Linked DNA regions of Tamandua tetradactyla. The protein of the gene in region 3 purifies or fractionates together with the protein of the main gene of each other region. This does not show direct contact. Links are inferred from orthologs where the notes say so. Each region holds a gene or a part of one and is shown on either strand. Other genes may lie near its edges.

Region 1 (7,633 bases), on a different chromosome or scaffold from region 3:
GCATGCATTATTTATTTACTCTTTACAACAACCCTGATGTCATAGTAGCCATTTCAGATGAGGAAGCTGAGGTATGGAGCAGTTGAGTAGCTTGCCTAAGGTTACACAGGGATAAAGTGATGCCAGAACCCCTCTCTCCAACCACCATGCTAAAACACCATTTCCTCACAATCATATGTACCTCAGCCAGAAATGCTTTCTTCTGCCACATTTTGGTACACAGTTTTAAGAACCCACAGACTACATAATGCAAATGGTTAAAAATAAAAATTTACAATTCTAGGGTTTTATTAAGGTTCCTTGAAAAATATAGCATTGAGCCACCTATGTATCTAGGGTGAAGTATGTCTTTTATCTGAAGTTAAATAGATATCTAATTACGTATAAATAGGTTTGCTAAGAACAGTCCTGTTGGAAAACTTTCCTCAGCCTTCCTATTCCAGGTCTCTCTCAATAGGGAGTAAAATGGCCCAGGTTGCTAAAAGCAGTTGGTATACCTGTGGATCAAGGTTTGTTTTTTTCTCCTATTTTTCTCTCTTGACATTATAAAGTTTATATGACCTGACATTTTGTGACTTTATCTTTTTAATAACTAGAGTATGATCATGATAAAATATTTAGAACCAGTCTAGTGAGGTATACAGTTATATTAATAGCTACTATTTGTTGGTTGCTCACTATATTTGTTTTCTAGGGCTGCCTTAACAAAGTACCACAAACTGGATGGCTTAAAACACTAGCAATTTATTTTTTCACCGTTCTGCAAGTCCAAAATCAGGGTGTCAACAGGGTCATGTGCCGTGTGAAGGCTCTAGGAAAAGACCCTTCCATGCTTCTTCCTGCTTCTGATGGCCCAGGTGTTCCTTAGGTTCACCTTTGGCAGCATAACTCCAACCTCTGCCTGTTTTCATGTGATCCTTACATGTCTATCCTCTTATAAGGTCACCCATTGTTGAACTGAATGCCAACCCTAAATCCAGAATGATTTCATCTTGAAATCCTTAACTAATTACATCTGCAAAGACTCTCAATTTCCACATAAGGTCATACTTTGAGGTTCCAGGTGGACATGAATTTTGGGGTAACACGCCTCCAGGTTTGAAAAGACACCTGCACCAGCTGCAGCCAATGTATTGCATTCTGTCTCTAATATCTAAGCCAAACATGTTCAGCTGCTGGGAATACATTACCTTCTTATTTTGAACTGGTAATGTTTTCAAGCAACTTCTTTCTAGGGCTTCTCCTATTTTAGGGGGCCATGCAAAATGAGGATTATACCCTTTTCACCTGATGAAGACAACATTCATGCCCATGTTTTGTTTCTGAATGCAACTTTCCCCATTATTTCATTTGTACCTTAAGATTTTGAATGCTGGCTATTCAATTATACAGCTTTTAGTCCTCTTAAAGTGTGAAGCTGAACTGGATTTCCCATGGGAGGTCTAAGTTAGACCGTGTGGAGCCTTCACCCTTGCTGGGTGATGACTTGAGATTTTTCTACTAATGCATCTTTGTTTTTCCAGGGCGATACAATTCTGGAGACTGGAGAAGTTATTCCACCAATGAAGGAATTTCCTAATCAACATCACTGAAGATTAAAAATTTCAAAGGCCCTGTGAGGCTAAATTTTATCCTCCAGTTCCATATTTACTGAATTGTTTTCTGGAAAAAATTTTATTAAAAGTTTACTCTCAGAGATGTGTTGTCATATCTCTTTCCATACACTGTATAGTATGAGACACTTTGAGTCATGTAATGATAAATAAAAACTGAACATGCAAAGCAAAATGATCTGAGTAATCATCTACTTTTTTGTGGCCATTTCTGAGTTGGAAAACAAGATGCAGAAAAGTATTCAGTAAAGACAGAATTTTTCTTAGAGACTTAGTCCGGTCTGGTATGAGAATGCAACAGAGACATGTTGCCATAAGCAAATATAAGAATATAAACTCCACACACTTGTTTTAAAGGAGAGTTTCTACGACTTCCAAGTGTTTTAGAAACTCTTTATTAAAATTCATGTCATTCCATCTATGACCTGATACTCAAAGGTTATCAGACCTAGTGCTTTGATTTTGATGAGAATGTAAAAGACAATTCTAAGTCAAAAAAATCGTGGTTATTATAAAAGACTATGCCAAAATAAATTTGGAAGCTTATATTATGGATTTTGCTTTTAAATGCAAACAGGTGACAGGTAAGCATGAGGTAAAGAACTGTATTAAGTCTAAAGCAATTAAAAATCCTCATTCATCCCGAATATTCTGTCTGGGTATTCCTTCGTTAGTTGTCGTCGCGCAGCTACAGTACACGCATAAATGACAGATCCCCAGGAGAGTAAAACAATCGCAAGGAGGACCTAAAAGATAAATGCAAAAGGGGAGAAACGAAAAAAAAAAATTAATGGGCGTGTCCTTTCCTCACATTCCCCCCACCACCAGGTTACCGCGTAGCTTGGCTAAGGTGGGGGTTATAGTGAAAACTCGAACAAATGGGATTCCTGAGACGCGTACCCTCCGCAGCCCTTACGTAAGAGGCGGAAGATCGTGTCCTCCAGGAAGAGGCGGAGTCGAAGTGAAAGAGTGAAAGGCTTAATGCAGGAAGGGATTTTGGAGTTTCTGGGTGTTGAAGAAATCGGGGGCCTACCGCGCGCAGGCCCAGGGAGTCGACACCGTGGAGCCCCGCCAGGCCCGAGACCTACCATTGAGTAAATCCAGTCCAAAGTGCGGCGACTCACTGGCTCCATGGTAAGGAGGCGGCGGCGGGCAGCGGGAACGGGCGGTAGCTGCGGGCTCTAGATCGACCTCCGGGGAGGTGGCTGCGGGACTCGAGCGGCCTCTCGCAGAGGGGCACCGGCGCCCGCCCACTGGCCTGCTGGAGCATTTCCTATCCGCCGGCCCGCCCTCTTCCGCCCGGAGCGGGGGGCGGAGTCACGTGGTGGGGGCCCTAGCCCGCCTTTCAGGAAAGGGATGAAATAAATGAGAAAAGATTAAAAATTGCCTTTTTGTCGCCTAGGTAAATAGGCACACCTCTTCAGTGTGTCTTCCCAGCTGCAGTCCGATATTAATGCAGGATAATGTACAGTCTTGCACGTTTAAAAGTTTACCTGAAAAAAAAAAATCCTCCTTTTAAATGTTGCATCGGCATCTAACTCCCGAGTATGAACGTTTCCCGCGCATCTGTTCCCACTTAATATATGTAAACGCTTGTATATTCGGCTTTAACGTAAAGCTACTATTTTATGTAACAGTGATGAAGGTCTTTGAGAACGCAATTGCTTGTTGATGGAAATGTTATTTCTAAGAAAAACGTGGCACGAGTTACGTGGTATAATGCACCAATCTTTCAACAAGTGTTAGTTGAACAATATGTGACTAGAAAGGGAATACGCTTCAAATGTTAAATCCTAAGTACGGCAGTTTGGCACGTGGACGTTTGTACCAAGTTCAACTATAAAATGTTTGGGACGCTCACATTTGAGGTCTGAGTTGTACAATCTTGCAATAGACTGCTTTGGGTTTAGAGGCTTTTTCTCTGTAGATCACACATGTTATCTTAACAGGGCTTAATCCAAATGGGGAGTAGGAAGGGGGAATGCAGTGCTTAAAAAAGGAATTAGTAGTTTTTGTTTGTTTGTTTGTGTTTTTTGTTTTTTCCTTTTTTATATATATTTTTATTTTTTATTTTTATTATTTTTATTTTTTTCTCTATATTATCATGCTGTATCTTTTTCTGTTGTTTTGCTAGTTCTTTTCCTAAATTGATGCAAATGCACTAAGAAATGATGATCACACATCTATGTGATGATATTAAGAATTACTGATTGCATATGTAGAATGGAATGATTTCTAAATGTTGTGTTAGTTAATTTTTTTTAATTAATAAAAAAAAAACTGGTGATTCTGAAGAGCTGAAAAAAAAAAAAAGGAATTAGTTTTGGGAAGAGTTCAGATCCTGTTCTGTTAAGTCTTGACCACTTCTCCCCAGACTGGAGTAAATCTCCCTGAAAGCTGCATAGGATACTGATTGGGCTCCGGCTTTGGATCCCATTCGAATCCAGGTGTTGTTTCTTTGGGGCGGTGCAACCGGTGGTGAAGTCACACCGCTGTTAACAGCTCCCTATGTATACAATGGAGATAATTTTAGCAACTTCCAGCAAGCGTTTGATGAAGTTTAAATGGGACCAAGCTAAAACATTGTCTAGTTATTGTTTTCCGGTGCCTTAGAAGCGAACATTAACTTAAGGCCCCGGCAATTCCCAGTGATTAATAATAACAAAAATGATGACGGTGGTAGCAATTTCTGTTTTGGAGGGTTACTTTGCTCCCCTTAAGGGATTGGAGGGCTGGGGGAGGGCCGCATATCCGGCCGCAGCACGCTAAGCCCCGCCCTTAGTGCCAGCGCCCTTCTAACGCGCAGGCGTTAAGAAGGCTGGTGCGGTGTTTTGACGCGCCAGAGGCTCGGGGGTGGGGTCTCGCTCGCTGCTACCGCCCCCAAACTGCCATTGGTGATGAGCACTTTACGTCACAGGGGTCGAAGCAGCCGCCAGTGTCTCCGCTGTCTCGCGAGGAGGGTGAAGCGCCCCTGCCCTCCCCGCTTCCTGAAGGTAGGCGGAGAAGTCGTCGGGTACGCCTTCGCGGATCTTGCCGTCACCGTCCCAGCTTTCTGGGCCGTCGGGAGCTTGCCACGAGCGCCCCAACAGGGCCTGCGCCAGCATCCTCCGAGGTGAGTGAGTGAGATCGGGAACAATGGGGCTCGGGGGTCGGAGGACTGGGCGAGCTGGAGCGGGGCCCAGGGACTTGGGGGTGGCGATCTCGGCCTCAGGCTGCCCGGGCCTCGGCTGGGCAGGGGTCCCTGCAGGCGGGAGGCCTCTGCCGCGCACCTGTGGATCTGTCCCAGTGGGTGGGAGAGGATTGCGTTTCTGTGGAAGCGCTCTCTAGGGGCACGAGCCTAACTGCGTACTGGAAGAAGCCAGGTCTCTGGAAAAATAACCGCTGAAGTCTGAATCTTGGCATCGCCCCTGAAAGGGTATGTGACCTTGGCTAAGTCCCCTCACCTCTCTGAGCCTGTCTGTAAAATGGGAATCACAGTATTGAGGTTCCTTGTGGTTATGTAATACATGTAGTGTTTATCTTAGATCATGATCCTTGGAATTCTTAACCAAAGGAAGCGGCGACCACCGTGACTGATTGAGTTGTCTGTGCAGTGTTCTGTGCATTCTGGGCTGGACTTGCCTGCCAGTGACTTCTTTGATCCATGTAAACAGGAAGCTTTCCTCATGGGCTGCTGATTCCTAGGCTGTAAGGGGACAGTGCCAAGATGAGCCAGATAGGAATAAAGTGAATTAAGTTTTTGGTGGGTAATTTTCAAGATTATTTAAGGTAAATTAAGAAACAGCTACCCAAGATTAAGCTGAAACATAGTGAGTTTTTTAATTGAAATGCAAGGCTCTATAGTCAGCCCAAACAAACATGCTTATCTGGAAAGAATGGCTATAGAGGGGAATGGTTCCCAACTATTTTTTTTTAATTGCTGGATTGGAATTAAATTTGATAGGTTCTTATCAGCAGACCCTGTAACTTCTGTATCATCAATTGGAATTGGTGATTAAACTGTAGCTCAGAAAGTTACAGTGATTTCCTTGAGGTGATGAGAGATAGTACTCAGATTTTTTTTTTTTTTTTACATGGGCAGGCACTGGGAAGCGAACCCGGGTCTCTGGCATGGCAGGCGAGAACTCTGCCACTGAGCCACTGTGGCCCACCCTCAGAGTATTTTTTATGCCTGGGTGTGTATTTCTATTTTATTCACTTGTGACCTTCCTAACTACTTTGCCCATATATAGTATTATAATTATATTAAATATGAAGATAATTTAGAGATTGTCATCTTGATTCAGTCATTAAAATGAATTCAAAATATAGATTATGGACACTATCATTACTTTCACATAACAGAGGGGAAGAGTGCTAAGTTCTTTCTGTGTACCAAACACTGTCCCTTGTTTACATGGACTGTATCCTTTTACACAGTAACTTTTCAGATGGGTACTGGTATTTACCCCATTTTAGAATTGAGAAAATCTAAGGAGGTTTTGAAAGATTAAACAGCTTCCCCCAAGGTCAGCAATTAGTAAATGGTGTGTTTCTCAACCCTGGCTTTGCATTAGATTGATACCACTCTGCCAAAGGTAATCAGTAGGTCGTTAATTTTTATAATAATTTAAGGAATTCTGTAGAATATGACTTATAGGAAGTCAGTCTTTATAAAAAATCTAATTCTACAAGCAGCTCTACTTTGTTGCTATCTCTGTACAATTTTTTAATATCTAATATGACCTTTAGCCTCCAACTTACTGATTCTTTATCCCTCTTGTTTTCCTAGATAGGTATGCTTGTTGATTATCTGAAATTCCCTCAAATTTGACATGAAGGCTTCTTATCGTTGTTAAAGCCAATAGATTTGAAGATTTAGGTATGGGGTTTGATTTATTCCGTTTAACCTAAAGATGGTAAACTTTACAATTTGGGAGAAAGTTTAGGAAGCAGGATCAGGAGAACTAATTTATCTTCTTGCCTATGAGAAAGTTAATTTGTAGTCCAAATTCCTAGAGTGCTAAAGTAAAGGCGCTTGGAACCTGAAGTATTAAATGTGTCTACCATCGTGTCTGTTTTTGCTACCTAATCCCAGAATCTCACCTGCAAATCTCTAACTTAATGTGTCTCCTAGCCATCCTTGTTTTATGCATTAATTTGTTTTTTTAGCAGCTTTATTAGGATAAAAATTTACATTCTGTAAAGCTCAACAGTTTAAAGTCTGTAATTCACTAATTTTTAATACATTTACAGAGTTGTACAATGTCACATATCTTAATTGTAGAACATTTTCATCGTTCCAAAAAGAAACCTTCTACCAACTCCTCATCATCCCTACCTCCACCTGAGGCAACTTTCTGTCTATAGATTTGCCTATTCTGAACGTTTGATTTAACTGAGAGTTTACAATATATGGACTTTTGTGACTTTTTTTTTCATTTAGCGTAATGAAAAGGCTCTTCCAGGTTGTAGCGTGTATCAGCAGTCAATTCTTTTTATTGACAGAATACAATCAGAACTCTAATTTATTTGTTCTTTTTTTTACCTACTGATTCTTTAGCTTATGTTGTCATGGTGACTAAAAGGCTTTGAGACTAGGGAAGGGAAGACTAAGATTACATTTTTAAAATATACTTAGTTGATTTTGTTTTATTTGAATTTGATTTTACTGCCTAAAAATTTCCTTTAATAAATTCATCCTGGGTTGTCGTTGTTATGTGAACTAGAACTGTTCATTAAACACTAAAATTGTACATTCCAAAGAACCAGGTTAAGATGAAATGTAATAATTTGAAATTCACCAGTCTTTTTTCATGGCTGTAACTGGATACAGTTTTTGATTTACAACTGAATTTAACTGATATTTGCTAATCTATGACTCGGTAGGAGATTTTAAAATTTAAGTCTAATAATCCCTTCATTTTATGGAGGAGTAAACTAAAGTCCATATTGAAGATTTTCCTGGTTTGCAGAACTAGTTTTAGGTGAAGCCTAGTCTTCAGTCCAGGTCTTCTGATAATCTGTCCAGCTCCCTCCCT
Region 2 (7,063 bases), on a different chromosome or scaffold from region 3:
TCTTGTAGTATAGTGGAATAAAAGGAAAACAATGTCTAATAATGTGTTTGACAATATGCCAGTGCCCGGACCTGACTACAATGGGAGATGAAATGAAGAAGGCCGACCCTGGCCCTTACAGAGAACAAGTAAGTTTGGATAGAAGAGAAGCAAAAAGAGGTGGGCAATGGTGGCTCAGTGGCAGAGTTCTTGCCTGCCATGCTGGAGACCCAGGTTCAGTTTCTGGAGCCTGCCCATGCCAAAAAGCAAAACAAATAAATAAATAAAAATGATCATATGTTAAGAATGTTTGTGGTTCTTTGCTGTTATATTTTTAAAAAAATTAAAAATTAAAAAAAAAAAAGATATCCACAGGATGATACCTTCTCTGAAGACAGGCTGTCAGCATCTGGGGTTCCTCTGTCAGACAGCATGCCAGTGTGAAGCTATTATGCACCCCAGAAAAGCCAGGCCCTTTAATTTTCGTTCAATATTGCTGGAATTTTTTTTGATTGTTCCCATGGAGATATTCCCCCCCAATTGTGGGTGGTAACTGTTGATTAGTTGGTGTCCATGGAGATGTGTCTCCACCCATTCAAGATGGAGTTGCTTATTGGAGCCACAAGAGCCCAGGCAGCGAGAGACCTTTGGAGATGGAGAAGTAAAATGCCCCCAGGGGAGCTTCATGAAACAAGAAGTCGGGAGAGAAAGCCAGCAGACATCACCCTGTGCCTTTCCAGATGATAGAGCCATCAGCCTTCTTGAGTCACAGTGTCTTTTCCTGGATGCCTTAATTTGGACATGCTATAGTCTTACCTTCATTTGGACATTTTCACAGCCTTAGAATGTTAAACTTGCAACTTAATAAATTGCCCTGTTTGAACGCCGTTCCAGTTCTGGTATATCACATTCCAGCAGCTTGCAAACTGGAACAGATAGTGTCTACTGGTCCTTTGCTCCCAGGTTTTGTTGCTTTCAGCTTCTGGTTCCAGTGGCCTCTCTCTGAGCTTCTTGGGTCTTCTCTTGGCTTCTCTGGGGCTTTTCTCTCTGTGCTCATTCAGCTTTTTCTGTCCTTTATCCTCTCATAGAGGACCTGAGTAAATGGATTAAGACCTACCCTGAATGGGGAGGGTCACATCTCAATTGCAACAACCTAATCAAAAGGTCCGAACCACAACAGGTCTGAACCCAGAGGAGTGGATGAAAAGAGTATGGCCTTTTCTGGGGGTACATAAAGCTTCAAGCTAGCACAAGCTATCTGCATCGTTGATTTGTGTGTGACCCTGCTCAAACATCACCTCCTCAGAGGGGTCTTTCTTGACCATTTTATGGCCAAAGACTGATGGTTCCTTGTCATCGCATGTTTACACACTGATCTGTTTATAATCTGCCTCCCACTGGTCAGTTCCGTGAAGGCAGGAATCTATCTCATTTCTGTTCTATCCACATCATGGGATCTTGTCAAGCACAAAGTAAACCCCAAGTAGATATTTGTTGCTGGAAATGAATAAGCCAAGTTAAGTAACAGCTTAAACTGAGGTCATAGAACAGGATGTAAACATTACAACTCGTGAAGATACATTTATCTAAAATACAATTTAGTCTTCTGTTAAATTCAGGAAGATACCTTAAAACATATATATTTTTTTAATAACTTGAAGGTGTGCCCTCATTGTTCTGAATGATTCCTCTCTTTCTGCGGGAACAGTGAGATGTTTGGGACACTGTTCCACAAATGTAGCCCAACTCCTTATTTCCAGCTGAGATTTGGGATGCTTGCTTTTGTTTCCTCTTTGCACTTTTTAAAAAAAAAAACTTTTTTATTAAAAAAGTAATAATTTTCAAAGCACACTTCAACAACTAGTTACAGAACATGTCCCAGAGTTTGTCATGGGCTACCATTCCACCATCTCGGATTTTCCCTTCCAGCTGCTCCAAAACACTGGAGACTAGAGGAATTTGAACAGTGAATAGGGAAGTATTTGCAGAGTCCCCTGGGGTAATGGGGAGAAAGGGGGAAAATTCAACTTCCCCAAGTAGAGAACTCTTGATATTCTCACAGGCAGTGGGGATAGCCAAAGTAATAGGCCGAGCCTCCAATCTTGGGGTTTGTTCATATGAAACTTAATCCGCAAAAGATAGGCTAAGCCTACTTTAAATTAGGTCAAAAAGTCACCCCCAGGAGAATGTCTTCTGTTGCTCAGATGTGGCCTCTCTCTCTTGGCTGACACAGCAAGCAAACTCACTGCCCTCCCCCTATCTACGTGGGACATGACTCCCAGGGGTGTGGACCTTCCTGGCAACGTGGGACAGAAATCCTAGAATGAGCTGAGACTCAGCATCAAGGGATTGAGAAAACCTTCTCGACCAAAAGGGGGAAGAGCGAAATGAGACAAAATAAAGTGTCAATGGCTGAGAGATTCCAAACAGAGTCGAGAGGTTATCCTGGAGGTTATTCTTAAGCATTAAAGAGATATCACCCGTTTAGTTAAGGTGTAATGGAGAAGCTGGAGGGAACTGCCTGAAAATGTGGAGCTGTGCTCCAGTGTGACTGTGTGGTTGTGAGAGCCTGTGTTTGATGCTCCTTTTGTCTACCTTGAGGGACAAGTAAACATATTGATTAAAAATAAATAAATAATGGGGGAACAAATGTTAAAATAAATTTAGTAGACTGAAATGCTGGTGATCGGTGAAGGGGAGGGGTAAGGGGCATGGTTTAGTATGAATTTTTTTCTGTTTTCTTTTTATTGCTTTTTCTGAATTGATGCAGATGTTCTAAAAAATGATCATGATGATGAATAAAAAAAAACACTGGAGACTAGAAGGAATATTAATACAGTGATTCAGCAGTCATAGTCATTTGTTAAATCCTATTTTCTCTGTTATACCTCCTGCTTCACCTTTGATTCTCCCCCCAATCTGTACGGAGAAGGGTAATGTCCCTTCTGACATTTTCATGTTGAGAAGGGGCGTCGACACTAAAGATAGGGGGATGTAATCAATTGATAATGTTTGGAGAGGCTGGTCCCTCTAGGTTTCAGGATTTATTTGACCCAGGAACCCTCCAGGAATTATAGATTCCAGGAGTCTTTTTAATAATGAGCATATGAGACTCAGCATCAAGGGATTGAGAAAACCTTCTCCACCAAAAGGGGGAAGAGAGAAATGAGACAAAATAAAGTGTCACTGGCTGAGAGATTCCAAACAGAGTTGAGAGGTTATCCTGGAGGTTATTCTTACACATTAAACAGATATCACCTTGTTATTCAAGATGTAAAAGAGAGGCTGGAGGGAACTGCTTGAAAATGTAGATCTGTGTTCCAGTAGCCATGTTTCTTGATGATGATTGTGTAATGACACAGCTTTCACAATGTGACTGTGTGATTGTGAAAACCTCGTGTCTGATGCTCCTTTTATCTACCTTGTCAACAGACGAGTAAAACATATGGAATAAAGATGAATAATAGGGTGAACAAAAGTTAAAATAAATTTAGTAGATTGAAATGCTAGTGATCAATGAAAGGGAGGGGTAAGGGGTATGGCATGTATGAATTTTTTCTGTTGTCTTTTTATTTCTTTTTCTGAATTGATGCAAATGTTCTAAGAAGTGATCATGATGATGAATATGGAACTATGTGATGACATTGTGAGGTACTGATTATATATGTAGAACGGAATGATCATATGTTAAGAATGTTTTTGTTGTTATATTTAAAAAAAAATTTTAACAAAAATGCAACGAAGATTAAAAAATAATAATAATAATGAGCATAGCCACTCACACACCCACAACCAAAATCACGCTTCCATCAGTTTTCTCCATCATCCGCGCGGTGGAGGCCCGCGGACACACACCGGGCGCGGGAACTCCGGGGCGTGGCCGGGCAGGGTGAGGAGGCGGGGCTCCAGGGGCTGCGCGGCGGCGCCTCACCGCGCCTGCGCGCAGCCATTGGTGGGGCCGGAACCTCCTTTGCGGGACTGCGCGCCCGGGGGGAGCGTATTGAGCGAGGCACTCGCCCACGGCGGCTGGTGGAGTCCGGGCCCGCGAAGCTGGAGCGACGGTGGCGGCGGCGGCGGGAGGCCGGGGCTGAGGCCGGGGCCGGGGCTGCGAGGCCCGTGGGGCGGCAGGCTGCGGCTGCGGCCTGGGGCTCGAGCCCAGAGGGAGGAGCGGCTGCCATGGCCGAGAGCATCGTGAGTGGTGGCGGCCGGGCGGGAGCCGGGGCGCCGGGATGAGGCAGCAGATTTGCCGGCCGCGGCCTGGGGCGGAGGCCCGCCGGCTGGCTCTGCGACCCGGCCCCTTTCCCCTCCCTCGCGTTAAGGCTCTCCCCGAGGTGCCTGGGCTCTCCCCCGGGGCGGCTTTCACCCCCCTCGGCTTCTGTCCCTCTCCGACCCCAGCCGGGAGATTCGCGACTTGGGTTCCGCACCCCGGGCCGGGCCTTCCTGCACGGAGCGTCGGCTGTGCTGAAGGGAAACCGTCTTCCCCCCTCGCCTGCCTCCCTGCCTCGGGCAGACTTCGTGGGCTTTATTTGAAGGCCCCTCAGAGGCCGGGTTACGACTCCCCCCTTAATCTCCTTCCACTCTGCGCCCCCACCCCCACCCCAGTAAGTGCCTTGTCATGAGTCACTGGAAGGAGAGCAGGTTGTACGAGCGGAGCGCTGCGGAACTCCCTCCCCACGAAAGGAAAATACGGCGGCTTGACTAGTTTTTTGCCCCTCGGTTGTAAAGAAAAGTTGACAACTGCCTGTTTTAAAAGCATATTATGAAGAACCTTGGTTTCACTGTTGACCAGACAGGAGGAATTGTCTCCTCCCCCCCCTCCCCAAAATAAAAAGTCAGTGAAAGTCAGAAACATCTGTCCTTGGTTAACTTGTGAAAAGTTTTCCCTCAAAAGCAAATGTGGTAGGAAAAGTAACAGACTGTTCAGATAGAAGAATTTCGGTTAGCGTTAAATGTTCGGGATTTTCAGGGGAATCAAAGCAGTATCGGGTGACCAGTTATGGGCACGCTTTAGCACCTTTATGGCCTCTGAAGTTTTGCCAGGTGTTGTGTCCAGAATGGTGGGTTACTTGTGTCCAGATGTCTCGGTTCTGCAGGAAGCTCCAGCCCTTGGGCAAGGCTTTTCTCTAATTCCTACCTCTCTTAACTCGAGCTCATTGGAGGGACCCTGGAGCCTCCCCATTGTTTCCCACCTGGAGATGAGCAGAAGGAACAAATGGCCCAAGAGAAATTTGACTCCTTTAAAAATAAGATTTGCTAATCACTGGGGAGTTCTAGAAATAGATAAGGAATTAGCACTCATATCTGTTTTCAGACTTTCTGTTATTGTAATATTTTAAACTGAATTGAAGAAACATAAGCAAGTGGTTTCAGACAAGACCCATTTCCCACTAGTATATATACAGCTAGGCTTTTGCTCATAGCTTGGTACCTTACAGAATTTCTTAGGTTGTGAGGAATTAAAACAGACCCTTCTTTTAAAATTGATTTCCAAAAGCTTTTTGAATTCAGAAAGAGATCTTTTTTTTTTTTGGCATGGGCAGGCACCAGGAAAGGAACCTGGGTCTTCGGCAGGGCAGGTGAGAACTCTGCCTGCTGAGCCACGGTGGCCCACCCAGAAAGAGATCTATTAAAACATATGTGCATATGACTGATTTTATCTCACCAGTTCTTCAACACCCCATTATTCTTGGGCCATTTTCTTATAAATACAAAAACCTAAGTTATTAAGAGGCTATGTGTCCATGTTGCCAGGTCTGCCTTGTCTTGTGTATTTCATTGTGTAGCCTGTGTCACAGTACAAGCTAGTACTTATCTCAGTTCAGGTTGCATTTGATTTTGTTGTTAAATACTGTGTGTGTCTCAGAAACCTAGACTGCCCTGCCCTGTTGTAGACAATCAATGAGAATGACTTAATATCTTTGTAGAACTCCTCAGAATCATGTAAGCCTGACATTCAGCTCCTCAAATTGCTGAGTGACGTACTCTTGTTCCTAAATGATCAAAAGGACATTTCACAGAACCCCCTGCAGAAAAACAGAGTCCTTCTGTTCTTGTGTCTTAGTGCTGGAGACAGATTTCTGAAACAGGTACAGAAGTATTCACTTAATGCATTGTGAGAACCTTTCTTAGGTATGAATCAAAAATGAAGTGCACCAGAAATCAAAAGAATTAATTCAGAAGAACTAGTTTGTACTTGCTCTTTCACACAGAAGAGGGGAAAAAATTAAACATAGTTTAAGAAACAAAAAGATATAAAATATGTTAGGCCTTTTTTTTTTTTTTACATGGGCAGGCATCAGGAATCGAACCCGGGTCCTCTGGCATGGCAGGCAAGCATTCTTGCCTTCTTGCCTGCTGAGCCACTGTGGCCCGCCCTAGGCCTTTTTTTTGATGTTATACCTTTAACAGTTGGAATAGTCATAGGGACCATTCGAAACAGCCCTAATACTTTGAGAACAGTAAGGTAACTAAGGTCAGGTAAAGCTTGTTAGAAATTTGAGAAACAGGGCCAGGCTTTTTTTAAAAGGAAAATTTAGATTATTCTTAATTAGTTGGATCCTAAAGCAGAGGAAAGTTCAGTAGACCTTGAGCTTTTGTGGTATTTTGTCACATATTGGACACTGGCCTTGTGACATTTGGCATCTCAGTGCTGCTGCATTAATGAGAACACATAGCACGGTGAGGACCTTCTGGCATGTACTCCTCTGTCTGCTCTCTGCATCCCTCGAGGTAGTTGGCGCAGCGGGGTGTTGGCAGCGGGGCGTGCTGCTTCATGCTTCCTGACAAACGTAGAGACTTGTACAGTTGGCCAGGGTGCTAATGACACTTCTTCAGGAGGGCTTCCATTACAATAAAAATCAAGCTCTCTGTCCGATGGTCTTCAGGCCTCGCACCATTTCGGACTTGCCATGAAAATATTTTTTAAAACTCATGCTAAGTTTTACTGTGATGTTAAAGGCATTCATTTCTTTAATTTTTTAAATTAAAAGCAAATGATGAATTAGAAGATTTCTTTTGATTCTTTTAAGTCAAGCTAATGTCTGTGTATAGATTTGGTAACAGTGAAATCTTTAAGGAACCTGGG
Region 3 (7,343 bases):
TTTTGTATATATGGTTGGGTGTCAGCCCAAGTTTGTGTTAATGGGATACTGTCATGGTTAAAAAATATTTTTAAAACTGCTGCTTTGGAATTACCTTCAGATCCAGCAGCACATTCTTTCTTCATGCTTTGAGAACTGACATGACTTCTGAAAGAAGTCATTCAAAGTCATGTATTATGAATATCAAGAGATATCAAGTGGAATAATATCATAAAATAAATGACTATAAAGTAACAGGACTGATCTTACGTAGGTTTAAATGACTCTGAAGGCATCAATGGTAGAGGTAGACAGCTTTTCAATGTGATTCAGAGAACAACGTTTTGTTAACTACTCTATTAAAGACTAATCATGGAAAAAATGTTTTATGATGTAATACTAACTGAAAAAATTCAGAGTTCTAAATTATGTACAACAGGATCCAGAATGTAGACATAAGTATATGAAAAAGAATTGGAACATAATGTAAAATAAATAATACTGCTGTTGTGACAGTGGAGGTTTAGTTTTTGCCCCCTTTTTTCAAAATTATTTCATGTGTCATGATATCTTTTTAATAATTTTCTTAAATCAGATTCATTATTTCAAACTCAAGTATTATAGAAATTTGTTCTATTTAGTAAGAAATAAGACTTTACAAGAAATCTTAAAATTTTCTCTTCTATTTCTAAATGCCATATTGGTAGATTGATAGCATTTTTGAAGATGCAGTGCTTTTATCAAATTAATGAGCTTCCAAATATAAAAAAATCTTTCTGAAATCAGAGCATAAGTGCTTAAGATCAGTCTGATTCATACAGCAATGAAAAAAATACCTTTATATCATAAGCACAACAATTTCAAATATATACCAGGAGAGATAACACCAAAATGTATTTGTAAAATATGTGGAAAAAAGGCTGAATAGGTTCAATCCTGTGTTTCTAATGGTTAATCATTATCTTATAAAAAGAATCCCCAAAATTATTAATAGAAATTCACAACACATTAAGAACAATCTAAGATATTTTCCCTTTTGTAGATTTCCATATAACCACTGTCTACTGAGGGATGCCAATTTGATTTAAGAATAGAAAGGCCTATGACCAAGAAACAAGCAATGAAGACTGACAGAAACAGAAAAGCTAAACTCAGTCAAATCCATTTGGCACACTTTGATTTCTAACTCTAACAAAAATGTTGAATTAGAAGACAACGTGAGGTTAAGGCAATCTGAATTTCTGAAGGGGTTAACATAAACTGAAATTAAATAAGTGGGACTTTAAATTAAATCACTAGGCATTCTAAAGGAAAGATTAATAATGGATATTCACTTCTATATCTGATTCTCTACAAGGATTTTTCTATATAAACATATGCAGCAATGTTAACTTACATACACAATACTTTTCAAAGATTCCCCATAACAAAGATTTAGATACTGGGAAATGCATAACATTTTAATATATAGCAAAAGATTTTAAAAAAATTATGAAAAATATTATCCCATTCCCCACCTCAACGCCATTACAAATTTTACTTTACCAACTCTGACGTGGTGTTTCACGCCCACAAGCTAGATAATGCATCGAACATCTAGTTTTAACCACAGAGTAAAAAATAAAACTAGTTTTAATTATAAAACGGTAACTTCCACACAATCTGTAATGGTTAAGACAAAATTTTATCTAACCAGATATTGCATGATAAACTCTGAGGACGTTAAATATTCTCTGCATCTAACAAATGACCAGATTAAATATGTAACTACTAAAGGAAAGAACTAATATTCTAACCTCCTTCTAAAATAACAAACGAGAACGGCAAAACCACACTCAGGCACATGGACTACTCTTCTCTCAAATCACTCCACAGAGAACTTCATCATTTGCTCCGCCCTCTAATAACTCATGCAAAAAAAGTTCAGCACCATCAGAGAGAAACAAGACACAGGGAATTCACAGAATGGCACAGGGCCTTTTCTCCAGGCTGAAAGAAGATCTCGTGTGCCCTTCACAGGGGTCCAAAAAAACAGGAAATCCTGGGCCTTGGGTTTGGGGATACTGACACCCAGAAACAGGTTCCCTCTCCGAGAAGTTTCCGCCGCCATCCCTATTTTAGCAGCAGGAGGCCCCGGCGCCATCTACTCGGGTCTTTATGATTTTATTATGGGGAGGTGGGAAACGCCTCCCAGTATCCGTCCAGGCCTCCAGAATCCAGTTTGGAGAGAGGGGGATTCCCCCCTCACTCTTCTCTTAAAACCCCAGGCCCTAAGGTTACTCCTCAGCAGCCCTCTTTCTGGCGGCCTATCCCCGGGGATCTGGAAAGGCGCTGCCGAACCCACCAGCATCGCCGTTAAGGCGGGAGGGCCCGAACACACCAAGGCCATGGCGATGGCTCGGAGGGGCCCAGAAAGGGGAAGGGCAGGCCAGGGACGCGGGAGCGAATGACCCGGCCCGGGAAGAAAGGAGAAAGGAGGTGAGGTGATACACTCTATCCGAAGCCTGCACAGACAAGAGATGATGAAGGAGGAGGAGGGCGGTGGCCCGGGTGCGGCCCCCCACTCCTCCCGCCCCCAGGTCCCCGGGCCGGCGGGGGCGGATGAGTTCGGCCCATTCGCCTGGACTGGGCTGGCAATAGGTTAGAGGTCTCCCTCCACACTGCAAGGAAACCGAGAACAAGGGTACAGGGAACGAGAAGGGGGGTAAAAGGGGACGTCTGTCTCCCGCCTAACCCGGAGACCCCACCGACGTCGCCTCTTCCTCAAGAGGGAGGACAGTAGCTGTGAGTAAAACCCAAGGGAGGAATGCAGGAAGGTAGGGGAAAGCACGGGGCAGACGCGACGCCCACTCCGGACCCCACTCTCAACCTTCCGGTAACCGCGTCTCTTACCGGTGATGGCCGTGAACTGCTGAATTAACCCCTTCAGCGCCGAGGACGCCGCGGAGCCCCCGTGGGCAGCCATCTTACCGCCGCCGCCGCTGCCGCCGAACAACAACACAGACACACACGGGCCGCCCTCCCCCACTTCGCCGCGCCGTTTGCGCAGGCTCATTGACTGCCCCCATGCTCCGCCCCCCCAGTCCGCTGCGCGGTGTGCGCAGGCGCACCTCGCGGCCTGTCCCGGAGCGTTCTCCCTGCCCTCCGGGTTGGCTGTTCCGTTGCTGCCTGCTCGCCGAATCCTTCTTTACAACCTATGGCTCCCCCTTCTCCAAGCTCCAAGACCAACCTTGTAGATGCGGTATTGGTTCCTGGTTTCCAGAGGCAGCCTCGGTCTCGGCAGGTAGCAGGTTCCTCGCGTTTCAAGTTCACAAGCTTTATTGATAGATCCAGCTGCCGATGGCCGTGTATTTTTTCTTATTTTGCAGGTCCCATCAAAAGCCAAATGTCATTATCGGCATTGTAGCAACTTTCTTTCCGATTACCCAACCTCTGAATTTTAAATTGCTTAGTCAACTGGTGCAGCAATCCCATACAGCAGAAAGAAAATGCCAGAACCCTTTCAAGCCAAGAAAGCATGGGTAATAGAGGGGATTTATAGCGGGGTTTTAATAAACAATTTTTCAACCTGCTTTCTTTCAATAAATATGTCCACATATTTCCCTCCTCGGGATTCCAGTTAGTTTCCTTACTTTTAAAATGAGGGTTTGCTATTTTTAAACAAAGAATATTTGCTACTTTTATAATTTTAAGTATTCTTAAATACAGTTCTATGATTGGGACGCGCTCAAAGCTGATGATTTTCTCTCCTTGAAAATAAAGTTAAAGAGCCTCAGTTTAGGTCATCTGCAGATTTGACCCAACCTAAGAAATAGTCTGTTAATGTGCGACTGGGGAGAGTTGAGAAATAACCGAGTTAAATCAAGGTTAGTATAGGGTTGTAGTTTCAGAAGGATATGATTGGTGTAAAAGAAAGCAAATCCTAATCGAAAATATTGTGACCTGTGCAAAGAAAGGATGTGAGGCATGGTAGCAGGCACAAACCTGAGAATAAAACACCTGGAAATGCTGCCAACTCATTGCAAGCATTCTTTTAAGTTTGTAGCTGAACTCTCAGAAAAATAAGAGAAATCTGCAGGGGCCAAAAAATGAACAGGAAACTAAATCACCCAGCAATGAGTTTGAGATGATGTCAGGACTGAGGAGCCAAGAGAGGAGGTTGTAGGTCTGGTTAAGTGCCTTTAAAAGCCACTAAAAGTCAAGAGACAAGGCCTTGGACCTTCTTCACTAAGTGGCCTAAATGGGAACACCTTCTCCCCACCCTTTTTAAAACTGAGACCTTTGAAGAACTACTTGCTCAGTAAAAATGTAAAAGCGCAGAATACGAAAAATACACCTGTCCTGGGAAGGAACAATGAAACTTTTCTCTCAGCCCCTGAGCTCCTTGAGGTGGGATGTAGATGTAAATAAATAAAGGAATAGATAAATAATAAATCCCTCAGAATTCCTAACTGTGGACCTGCACTCGGGATTTAAGGTTCAGTTTTACAATTTGCAGAGTACAGGAACCAACCAAAGGAAAAAGTTAATATAAAATTCTCCAGAGCTGATAGAACCCCAGGGCAACTGGGAGAAGCAAGTATAAAATAGAAAATTTCTTATGAAATAATAGCAATTAGTCTGATACAAAATTTGGACCAGAACAGCAAAAACAATGGACTGTTAGCCTTAAAATGCTGAGGAACAAAAGTGTGAAACTAAGATTTTATGCACAGATAAATTATCATTTAGGGGTAAAGATAAAATGAAGAAAATATCAAACAACTGAGATTACTGAAAAACAGACCTACCCTAAAAGAATAAAGGACATACTTCTTTTTTTTTTTTAATTTTTATTAATAACAGCAACATACAAGCACATACATTCTTTTTTTTTTTGATTTATCTGACTTTATTTAGCATACCAATAGTTTATCATGGTAATAAATTAGTATGTACAGTTATCAAAAAATGTTGGGTGCTTTCCAAGGAGGTGTACACTGGAGGTGTATACTAAAGTCTTTTGTAGAACCATTTAAACAGCTGTCCTTCATAATTTTCCAATCCAAGTGCGGTAACATGAAATTTTTGAAAAGTAGTCTCTTTAGCTATAAATCATGATTTAGATAGTTTGAATTTATAAAGATTTCAGATGCCATTTCAGTACCTGCAGGCTACCAAATCTGACATTATAGAATTGACAATTCAGTAATCATTTGATCCTATCAACTAATTATACAGATAGGAATCCACTGGTATTGTCAAAGATTACAAAAGCTAGTAAGAAGCAGAGCCTAGCCTACAAATTGCTTCTTAGGAAGGTTCCAAAAATATCTGTTGGGCTAAATAAGGCACATATATCACATGGAACTCTAGTCATACATAAAAAGACCCTGGTTTTACTTTGTTTAACATTAGATTGAATTCTGATGGTCCTTTTGTAGTTCACAAATATATTTGGTGATTTAGTTCTGTGGAAACAAAATCTTTCGGACTATTGCAGTTCACCACCCATCACTGATTGCCTAGTGTCGTTTACGCTTCTTTTTTCCTGGGGTGTTTCAACTCTGGCAACTTTTCTTCCCATTATTCTGAGCTCATAATAGACCTACTTCAAGGGTGTCTGTTCTTGTTTGAAATTCAACATCAGCAGGAGTTAACATAATATCAACACCTTTTTAAAAATTTGGATGGAAACTTAAGAACACTTGCAATTCAAAGTTTTATACCTGAAATCCAGGTATGTCATGCTGTGGGTTGCTTCTTTAATTGAAGGTGAACGTAGCAGTTGATGAAAGAATCCACAATCTAACAGAACAACAAACCACAAAAAAAGGTTGTCCTTGTGAAGAGGTCTGTAACCTTGCATTTGATTTTTCCATCTTAGTTCATTCTCGGTAGTTCGAGATTTGAATTCTTATAGCCTTCTTTAGCACTTAACTAATTCTTTGTTGGTAGAAGGTGCTGGGATTGTTTCTCCACACATAAACTGATCTTTGTCATAAATCACTTTTATAATGAGAGAGCAGCTAGGGCACGTTGCCACGTCTTCCCCATTCTCCAAATCTTCCTTGGTGATGGCGAAGTTATCCCCACATGGGCAGGGGTAGAAATACGTCTCCAAGTCTTCGTCATACTGGAAGTCCTCGATCTCCACCTCGTCGTGAAACACGGCCATTGCCACTGAGGTCAGCAAGAGGGCTATCGCCCCCGCCGCCCGACACCACCTCCGTGGGTTTAACCTCGGTGGCGCCGGCCGGCAGCACATACATTCTTAACATACAAACATTCTATACATGGTGTACAATCAGTGGCTCACAATATCATCACATAGTTGTATATTCATCACTGTAATCATTTCTTAGAATGTTTGCATCGCTGCAGAAAAAGAAATAAAAAGAAAAAAGAAGAAACTTATACATACCATACCCCTTTCCCCTCCTTCTCACTGATCACTAGTATTTCCATCTATCCAATATATATTTTTTAATTTTACCATTTGGTCCCCCTATTGTTTATTTTTAATCTATATGTTTTACTCATCTGAGTGTAGAGGGAGGAGGGCTGGGGACATAAATAAAATCAGAAAGAAAGATAGATGTTAAAGATTGAGATGGTATAATCTAGGAATGCCTAGAGTGTATAATAATAGTGCCTAAATGTACAAATTTTAAAAATGTTTTTGCATGAGGAAGAATAAAGGAATGTCATTATTGCAGGGTGCTGAAAATAGATGGTAATTAATATTTTAAAATGTCACCTTATGTGTGAGACTAAAGCAAAAAAAATGTTTATTTGGTTCAAAATTTGTATTTTGACTAGTGCAATTCCTAATATAACTTATGTAGATAGTTTGATTGAACAGCATAAGTACTTGGAATCTCAGGTAAGACATGAGATTTTGTTGGTTTGTCCAGAGTGATGCCTGGATGAATCCCAGAGTTCTTCGATCAGTGAGTGGAAAAGTATTTGCAAAGTCCCCTTCGGGGAATGGGGAAAATGGGGAGAAATTCAATTCCCCCAAGTTGAATTCTTGATAGTCTCATAAGCAGTGCAGACAACCAAAGCTATAGGCTGAGCCCCCAGTCTTGGGGTTTGTTCATATGAAATTTAACCCCACAAAGGATAGGTCAAGTCTACTTAAAATTTAGGCCTAAGAGTCACCCCCAAGAGAGCCTTTTTTGTTGCTCAGATGTGGCCTCTCTCTCCAGCCAACACAACAAGCAAACTCACCACCCTCCCCCTATCTACATGGGACATGACTTCCAAGGGTGTGGATCTTCCTGGCAATGTGGGACAGAAATCCTGGAATGAGCTGAGACTCAGCATCAAGGGATTGAGAAAACCTCTAGAATGAGCTGAGACTCAGCATCAGGGGATTGAGA

Evidence for each region.
Region 1: the proteins of UBXN7 (region 3) and TOPORS purify together in Homo sapiens (affinity purification with mass spectrometry; 4 studies listed by BioGRID and IntAct, with this or other methods). This does not show direct contact. The link is inferred for Tamandua tetradactyla from reciprocal best matches to the Homo sapiens genes UBXN7 and TOPORS.
Region 2: the proteins of UBXN7 (region 3) and NPLOC4 purify together in Homo sapiens (affinity purification with mass spectrometry; 3 studies listed by BioGRID and IntAct, with this or other methods). This does not show direct contact. The link is inferred for Tamandua tetradactyla from reciprocal best matches to the Homo sapiens genes UBXN7 and NPLOC4.

What each region holds. Positions count from the first base shown.
Region 1 is NC_135328.1:63,333,511-63,341,143, forward strand, and holds the start of TOPORS (E3 ubiquitin-protein ligase Topors), read left to right. Parts: upstream 1-4,617; 5' UTR 4,618-4,725; intron 4,726-4,759; exon of another isoform or gene 4,760-5,028; intron 5,029-7,633. Other genes in the region: NDUFB6 (NADH dehydrogenase [ubiquinone] 1 beta subcomplex subunit 6), read left to right, coding at 1,524-1,592; SMIM27 (small integral membrane protein 27), read right to left, coding at 2,237-2,359, 2,702-2,746. UniProt on the Homo sapiens protein: Functions as an E3 ubiquitin-protein ligase and as an E3 SUMO1-protein ligase. Probable tumor suppressor involved in cell growth, cell proliferation and apoptosis that regulates p53/TP53 stability through ubiquitin-dependent degradation.
Region 2 is NC_135332.1:73,880,590-73,887,652, reverse strand, and holds the start of NPLOC4 (nuclear protein localization protein 4 homolog), read left to right. Parts: upstream 1-4,047; 5' UTR 4,048-4,155; coding exon 4,156-4,170; intron 4,171-7,063. UniProt on the Homo sapiens protein: The ternary complex containing UFD1, VCP and NPLOC4 binds ubiquitinated proteins and is necessary for the export of misfolded proteins from the ER to the cytoplasm, where they are degraded by the proteasome.
Region 3 is NC_135336.1:17,370,595-17,377,937, reverse strand, and holds the start of UBXN7 (UBX domain-containing protein 7), read right to left. Parts: upstream 3,001-7,343; 5' UTR 2,945-3,000; coding exon 2,872-2,944; intron 1-2,871. Other genes in the region: diphthamide biosynthesis protein 3, read right to left, coding at 5,888-6,136. UniProt on the Homo sapiens protein: Ubiquitin-binding adapter that links a subset of NEDD8-associated cullin ring ligases (CRLs) to the segregase VCP/p97, to regulate turnover of their ubiquitination substrates.